Kluyveromyces lactis: one gene and its partner. The protein of the gene in region 1 purifies or fractionates together with the protein of each later gene. This does not show direct contact. Links are inferred from orthologs where the notes say so. Each region holds a gene or a part of one and is shown on either strand. Other genes may lie near its edges.

The links.
Region 2: the proteins of SWE1 (region 1) and KLLA0_D15543g purify together in Saccharomyces cerevisiae (affinity purification with western blotting; 4 studies listed by BioGRID, with this or other methods). This does not show direct contact. The link is inferred for Kluyveromyces lactis from reciprocal best matches to the Saccharomyces cerevisiae genes SWE1 and CLB2.

Annotation. Positions count from the first base shown.
Region 1 is NC_006038.1:657,915-662,357, forward strand, and holds SWE1 (tyrosine protein kinase SWE1), read left to right. Parts: upstream 1-1,676; coding exon 1,677-3,845; downstream 3,846-4,443. Other genes in the region: CCP1 (cytochrome-c peroxidase), read left to right, coding at 1-915. UniProt on the Saccharomyces cerevisiae protein: Protein kinase that acts as a negative regulator of entry into mitosis (G2 to M transition) by phosphorylating and inhibiting the mitosis-promoting cyclin B-bound CDC28 at 'Tyr-19'.
Region 2 is NC_006040.1:1,312,328-1,316,004, forward strand, and holds KLLA0_D15543g (cyclin family protein), read left to right. Parts: upstream 1-1,432; coding exon 1,433-3,052; downstream 3,053-3,677. Other genes in the region: KLLA0_D15521g (SDR family NAD(P)-dependent oxidoreductase), read left to right, coding at 1-44. UniProt on the Saccharomyces cerevisiae protein: Essential for the control of the cell cycle at the G2/M (mitosis) transition. Interacts with the CDC2 protein kinase to form MPF. G2/M cyclins accumulate steadily during G2 and are abruptly destroyed at mitosis.

The DNA of each region.
Region 1 (4,443 bases):
TACAACAATCGTAATTATAACAAACAAAAATTGGCTGCGTTAGCAGCTGCTCATGTCGCAGCAAAGGAGAAATACGACGTTGCCAAGTATCAAAAAGTTTACAACGATATTGCGCTCAAGATAAGGGACGAAGACGAATACGACGACTTTATCGGTTACGGACCTGTGTTAGTACGTTTAGCATGGCACTGTGCTGGTACTTGGGATGCAAAGGATAACACCGGTGGTCCTTACGGTGGTACTTACAGATTCGCGATGGAGACCAACGATCCGTCCAACAATGGGTTGCAAAACGCTGCGAAGTTCTTGGAACCAATCCACGAGAAGTACCCTTGGTTATCTCATGGTGATTTATATAGTTTGGCTGGCGTTACGGCGATTCAAGAGATGCAAGGTCCCACAATTCCTTGGAGATCTGGTCGTGTGGACCAACCTGAGGATACTACTCCAGAAAACGGTAGATTACCTGATGCTTCTAAAGATGCGAAATACGTGAGATGCTTCTTCCACAGACTAAACTTCGAAGATAGACAAGTAGTTGCATTGTTGGGTGCGCATGCTTTGGGTAAGACACATTTGAAGAACTCTGGCTTCGAAGGCCCATGGGGTGCTGCCACCAATATCTTCACCAATGAATTCTACAACAACCTGCTAAACGAAAAATGGGACCTCATCACTAACGATGCCGGTAACAAACAATACGTCAACGATAAGGGCTGGATGATGTTACCAACAGATATGGCCTTGGTACAGGATCCGAAATACTTGCCTATCGTGAAAGAATTTGCAAACGACCAAGACACATTCTTTAAAGAATTCACCAAGGCCTTTGTAGTATTACTTGAAAACGGTATTGATTTCCCTCAAGAAAACAAACCTATAAAATTCAAGACCCTTGATGCCCAAGACTTATAAGTTTCTACTCCAAGAATCAAGCAAAACACACACATAAACACACACAAAACACTGCAGCATCAGGCCGTCATATCATAAAGTGCCTGCTATTTATTATTTATGTTAGTTCTTATATACGTTGTGAACTATCATAACTGTCTATTTATTCAAATCGGATAAGAAAAAACACGACGATATGCAAGTTTCTGAACAGACGCACATTCGATAGAAACAGTGATCCCCACTGAAACATAGAAATTCTGCCCTTCCACTCATATAATAGTCCTGCCAGGCTCATTCTTGCCAAGTGTGTTATGTTAGGGAATGGCCCGTCTTTGCAGTTGCCTAACGATTGCCACGAAAATCATCAACACGCGAAAAAAAACGAAAAACATAGAAACAGAACGACGTGTTGAGAAGATCAAAAATCGATGAAGTAAACACACAGGTGAAAACAAAAAAAAAGAGATCTAGAGGAACCAACCTCAACACTTTAACCATCACAGTTCTACCATCAACTAGATTCGTTCTATTGGATCCTTCCAATAGTTGACAAAAGTCTATTGTTTGTTGTTTTAAGACAGCTTTCCTGGTTGTCTGTTAATTCTGTACCAGGTTCTGTTTTGACAGTTCAGAACAAGGACAACGAGAACCCACCCGCCAAGGGGCCATAATTTGGGTGTTTTTGTTTCAGTAAATAGTTACTCGACGGTGTGACAAAAAGTAATCACTGAAGAATAAAGTACTCATCGAAGGGGATCATCAAAAGCACGACATAAACAATGCCATCGAAACGGAAAAACTCACTGCAGCCAAACTTTGGGCGCGTAACTGTCAACACTGCACTTTCACCTCGGGTAGAAGTTTACCAAGACATAAATGAAGAAGAGACTGACCATGCATACCAAAGTGATGTCGATCTTGATACGGATATGGACCTGGACGTTGAGTTTCATTACTATGACCAGCTTTCGCACTTCAGTAACAATTCCAATAATCTCAAGTTTTACTCGGAACCTCTGAGTTCAAGATCTAATTCTAATGACACTCCGTTGGGTCTTACGAGAAGTGTTGGTGTTCTCAATCTTTCATTGGAGACTGAAACGCCTGATGTGAAAGATCAAAAGTTTAATGAGGAAAATCAGTCCCATATCGACAGCAGAGTACCACAGCTTCAAAGGCCCCTCATCACTACAAGTGCCTCCAATTCAGCATCTAATAGTTTAAAGAGAACTGTGAGCAAGACTGGATTCAATATATCCTCTCCATTTTCCAAGAACAATGCTGCATATTTAAAGAGTTGGCATAGTACGAATGCTGCAACATCTAGTGATTTGTCCTCCACTAAGACTACAGGAAAAAGTAATAATTCGTTTACAGAAGCAAAACCGGATCCTGTAGCTTTTCAGTCATCTGGCCTTATTTCCAAAATGAAACAAACAATTCTACCCAAGAAGTTGACAATACCAGATACGCCTGTGAAGAAGTCTCCGCTGGTTTCGAGACATTCTGACCAAGAACTTTTGGACACACCAATATTAGAGCATTCATCTATCATGTCAGCACAAAATCAGACGACATTTCCTACGATGTATGATTCCCAACTTTTCAAATCTCCCCCGATGATAAATACCGTGTTACCTTCATCAGAAAACTCTCCTACCAGTTCCTCTAATCCAAGATCTAAAAAGAGAACTAAAATTGTAAAGAACACAGAATTGACCTCAATGTTGAGACAAATCACGGACGATTTGTACGGACACGATCAAGAAAGTTCAATCTTTTCACCGTCACCCTCAAAGACAAATCTTCAAACTCCAACGAAAACATCCTTTGATATTGGTCCTGATTCTCTGGCTATCATGACAAAACTGCGAAACGATCCAACACATCTTCAACCACCTGAGAAGCAAAGATCAATCAATGCAAGTATCATGAAAAACCCTGATTTCCATCTAACGACCAAATTCAGTAATGTATCCATAATGGGAAAAGGTCAGTTTTCTACTGTCTACCAAGTGACTTTCCCAGAAACTGGTTTAAAATACGCCATCAAAAGTGTACGACCAACTAAACATAATTTTACCAATCGAATTCTACAAGAAATCAATATGTTGTCAACAATTCAGGATTCAGTTACAAATGACACAGAAGGTAAGGAATATATCGTAGAATTTATTTCTTCGTGGTCACATAAAGGTTCATTTTATATAATGACAGAATTCTGCGAAAATGGAAATTTAGATGCTTTTATACAAGAGCACGTCATTGCTAAACAACAACGATTGGAAGATTGGAGGATATGGAAGATTATCGTTGAAATCTGTCTAGCTTTGAGATTCATCCATGATTCCTGTTCAATTGTTCATTTAGATTTGAAGCCAGCTAATGTTCTCATAACTTTCGAAGGTAATTTGAAACTTGCTGATTTTGGGATGGCTACAAAGTTGCCAATAGAAGATAAAAGTTTTGAAAACGAGGGTGACCGTGAATATATTGCCCCGGAAATTATACGTGACGGAATATACGATTTCCGTGCTGACATCTTCTCCCTTGGGCTAATGATGATTGAAATCGCTGCTAACGTTATTTTGCCTGATAACGGAAGTGCATGGCATAAATTGAGGTCTGGTGATCTATCTGATGCTGGCAGATTAAGTAGTGCGGAGATCCATTCGAGCTCACTCTTTTCCAATAAAAAAGATCATACGAATATCACTGACATCACAACGCATGAGACAAAAATTCCAGCGTGGGTACCGAAGTTTTTATTAGACGGAATATCGCTGGAAAGGACTATCAGATGGATGATCGAACCGGATTACAGAGATCGTCCATCTGCATCTGATTTACTCCGCACCGAGGAATTAGAATATGTAGAACTAACAAGAAAGACAGGTGCAGTTATTCATGAGGATGACTACGGCCCAAAACCAGAATTCTTCTCCTAATTCACTTCAAGAAAATATAGAACATGTTATGATATTCAGCTTTACATAAACCAGCTTTACATAAACCAGTTTACGTCTGTTCTTTCTCTATAATGCCCTAATACTGACATAATAACAGCTCCGTTCATTTTCCTTTTACTTTTACTGGTTTTTTAATTTTTTGACATAAAAAATATACATGAGGAACATGTATATTAAACAGATATTCAGAGACTTTATGAGAAATTACAACGAGAGAGATGCAGTGGTGTGCAACGTTTGAACAAAAACGAACACCAGGTGGGGATAACGACGTGAGGTCACGTTAGAGGATGCACGTACTTGTGCATACTTATAGGTTAACACCCACAATTCTTATATAATGAACTCGCGTTTTGGATCAATAATATGATGAGTTATCAAACACTCTTTAAGCTAGATAGTATCTGAAATTATAATGATTTTAGTGTATTTGAACATTTTTAATACCTCTGATATTTTTCCAAAACTTGAATTATCTATGTAGCCTCATCCATTTATCTTTGCATACCGTACCTTGTTGATATTCCAACGCGAAGCAATTCGGTAATACTTGGCAGAGTATGAATTTTTAGATTAA
Region 2 (3,677 bases), on another chromosome or scaffold:
CAGGTTCAGTGTATCCAATCGATGGTGGATTTTTGGCTCAGTGAAAGTACTGTGCAGTACCCCCAAAAAAAAAGATGCGTTTACAACCAACCTAGTTCAATGCCGTCGTGTCTATACTATATACAAGTTGCTTAATTATCGTTTATAGCAATTGTCATCTTTAAAATGGTGCACAGAGAAAACACAAACAGCATTTTGCAGCTGGAATTCACCAACGATCGCGCGTATGAATAGTCTTAACTTCGCTAGGGAGAAAAACAGCCAGTGCCAGGAATAGGGCCAGAGCCAGGTCCTGTGTTTGCACTCATGCTACGGCCTGATTTCTTTATTGATCGAACACTTCCTAATAAGGAAAAAGGTAAACAACTATGCATATTTACGTTTTAGGAAAAATGTAAATAAACCGATGGACTTTTCACAAAAGCTCATCGCTTTGTAATTTGGTGCTACCTTTCTGACAAAGAAGCATCAACTGACTATATGAGCAACTGAGCGGATTGGGGGGATAGGGCATCACTGCGCATACTCCATTGCAGTATTCCTTTGGGTACTCCATGCTTGTGGTTACATTTTTCTTTTGGTTATTATTACAGAATGACGACAACGTTCGGTGACTGAGGGAATCCTCATTAGATTCTGTGAAGGGGAGGGGCGTCTGCTATGAAGCCATAAATCAACGTAGAGGTTCTTTGTAGACATTTAAAATTTCTTTTGTGCTACTTCTCCCGACAGTTGAAGCATCTGTAGTGAGGTATTCTTCTTTATCTTAGAAGTAAGAAGTTTTTGCTGCGTCTGTCTCAGTGACGATAGAGAAAAAGTAGGCTTTAAGCGAACGATCACAAAAGCTTCTCACGGTTCTTAAAGCTTTTTCGGTGAATCTTTCCATACAACTGGTGAAGAATTTGTATTGTTCCGATTGGAGTGAGCCTGTTTTTTCTTTTTGAACTTTTCTGGTTTGTTGTCCCTTGCTGTTTCTTTATTATTGTTTTGTTACTTCCTCAATAGGTTAGTTTCCAAATCGAATCTGAATCTGATCCAAGCTTTTCAGATTCATTATTTCAATAAAGAGGTTTTAGCTTTGAACAATCCCAGTCCATAGTTGACAATAGTCGATAGGAAACATACTACCAAGAGTATCGCCAGCGGTGAAGACATTGCTATCGGTAGAGACAGTGATAGCAGAAAGCAAGTTGATCAAGAGATCCTACGTCTTGCTCCTAAAAAGAATCGCAGAGTTTTTTTATACTGGAATCAAGATCTGTTGGTATAACTCTTAATTATTGATCTCCTGCAGAACTCATTGGGAAATTGGTAATAGAATAGTTGACTGAGTTGATTGCTAAAGCAGGTACTAAAGAAAGTGCAATTGTCTTTCTTTCCGATCTCTTCTTTTTAACAGAAACTAAATTAAAGACAATTCTGTCAAAGCATTATGTCAAAGGATAAATATGATAGAAGCTTGAAAAACTTGAACATGCTAAGAAGACCAGTGTTAAACAATGTTACTAATACTACTGAATCTACGTTCGGTAAAGTTTTGAGGCAGGCTAAATCAAGACTGCAGAATAGCAGGACGAATAATCTTCCCCAGGGTACCGCAAACTCGTATTCGAACACAAAACCGGCACCATTGAGAGATGACATAATGGTACCTGAGGATAAGGAGAATTACAATCCGCTAGCTAAGATTGATGAAAGAGAGGAGCTGGATTCTAATCTAGTTCATAATCACAAATCCCTGGGTACACAAAAGCATGTTACGATCGATGAAAGACAAGAAATAATTGGATATTCACATCTGGATACTGAAAAGTCTGCTCCATCATCATCAACATACAGCAGTGAGCATACGGAAAATGACGGCGTTCACGACGTCAACCCAAATGTTCAGCGTTCAGATAATGAAGCTGATTTCAAGATGCAAACCACAAACGCTTTTCACGAAAACGTCAACGATGGCAGTGACGCAACAGATGATGCCAGTAGTGGAAGTAAGAGTAGCAATGAATGCCCTGCTGTTAACGTCGGAAACAGCCTTGCGCCTATGCCAATTGACGAAAATGCTAACAATAGCGCTAGCAGTGTCGAATTGAGAGCAAAGCAACTTCAGGTTGAGGATTCGAAAAAGAGACCAATAAGCACTGTCGTTGAACAAACGTTACCTAAGAAATTTAAAGTATGTGAAAAGGGTAAAGAATATGAATGGGAAGATCTTGATGAAGAAGATATCAATGATCCCTTCATGGTAAGCGAATATGTTACAGATATCTTTGAATATTTGCACAGATTGGAAATGATGACTTTGCCTAACAGACACGAACTATTCAAACATGCCAACATTCAGCAAAATAGGGATATTTTAGTTAACTGGATGGTAAAGATTCATAACAAGTTTGGCCTACTGCCGGAAACCTTATATTTGGCGTTGAATATCATGGATAGATTCCTTTGCAAAGAGTTAGTACAGCTGGAAAAACTACAATTAGTAGGAACAGCGTGCTTATTCATCGCTTCGAAATATGAAGAAGTGTATAGCCCCAGTGTGAAACACTTCGCTTACGAAACGGATGGTGCATGCGATGAAGAAGAAATCAAAGAAGGAGAGAAATTTATTCTAAAAACGTTAGAGTTCAATCTCAATTATCCAAATCCCATGAATTTCCTAAGAAGGATATCTAAGGCAGATGACTATGATATACAATCCAGAACATTGGCGAAATATTTGCTTGAGATATCCATAGTTGACTTCAAATTCATTGGGATTCTACCCTCATTGTGCGCCGCAGCATCTATGTTCTTATCGAGAAAGATGTTAGGAAAGGGCCAATGGGATGGAAATCTAATACACTATAGTGGAGGATATACCAAAGACGAACTAGCTCCCGTGTGTAATATGGTTATGGAATATTTGGTCCAGCCTGTTGTACATGATGAATTGTTTAAGAAATACGCTTCGAGAAGATTTATGAAAGCATCGGTAATTTCTAGACAATGGGCAAAGAAAGTCATGTCCCACAACTATGATATAATGACACTACATGATTCAGAATAAATCACGAGATTCGATCATTTAAAGAAACCATGATCCTTCCGGCCTTAATTACTGAGTATGATTGGCCATTGTAGTGCCAATATGAAATGTTATCGAGGGACTTTTTCCTATAAGAAGAAATTCGAATCACGGGGTCAGAGATATGGAATCAATCTGATCCAATACTCAATTAGTTTCTGGGAAGTGGAATAGTACATGTTGCGCGTTAAAGGGAGGCATTCTAAAAGCATACTAAACCCAAAAAAAAAAAAAAACGATAACTATACTAATACTAATCATAATAGAAAACAAACATTGTAATAATTAATCTAGCCAACCCACATGTGTCAATGTGTTTTCCATTCAACAGATAAAATGAGGATTTAGACCTTAGTGAACCCTTTACTTCAATTCACTTTTAATATTTCACCTGCTCAAAAACTCAGAAAGAGTTCTCTCAGGATCATCAGTATCAGCATTATGTTGCAATCATAGGTATACCCACCCCTTACCCTTTAAAGTATAACCACTTCAAATAATTTACTTCTTATGTACACTTAGCATGTTTCTGAACTAATTTCAATTAATGAATAAGTCATTTTTTAACTATTATTATTAGTTGATTACTCGATTAATTATTTATAAA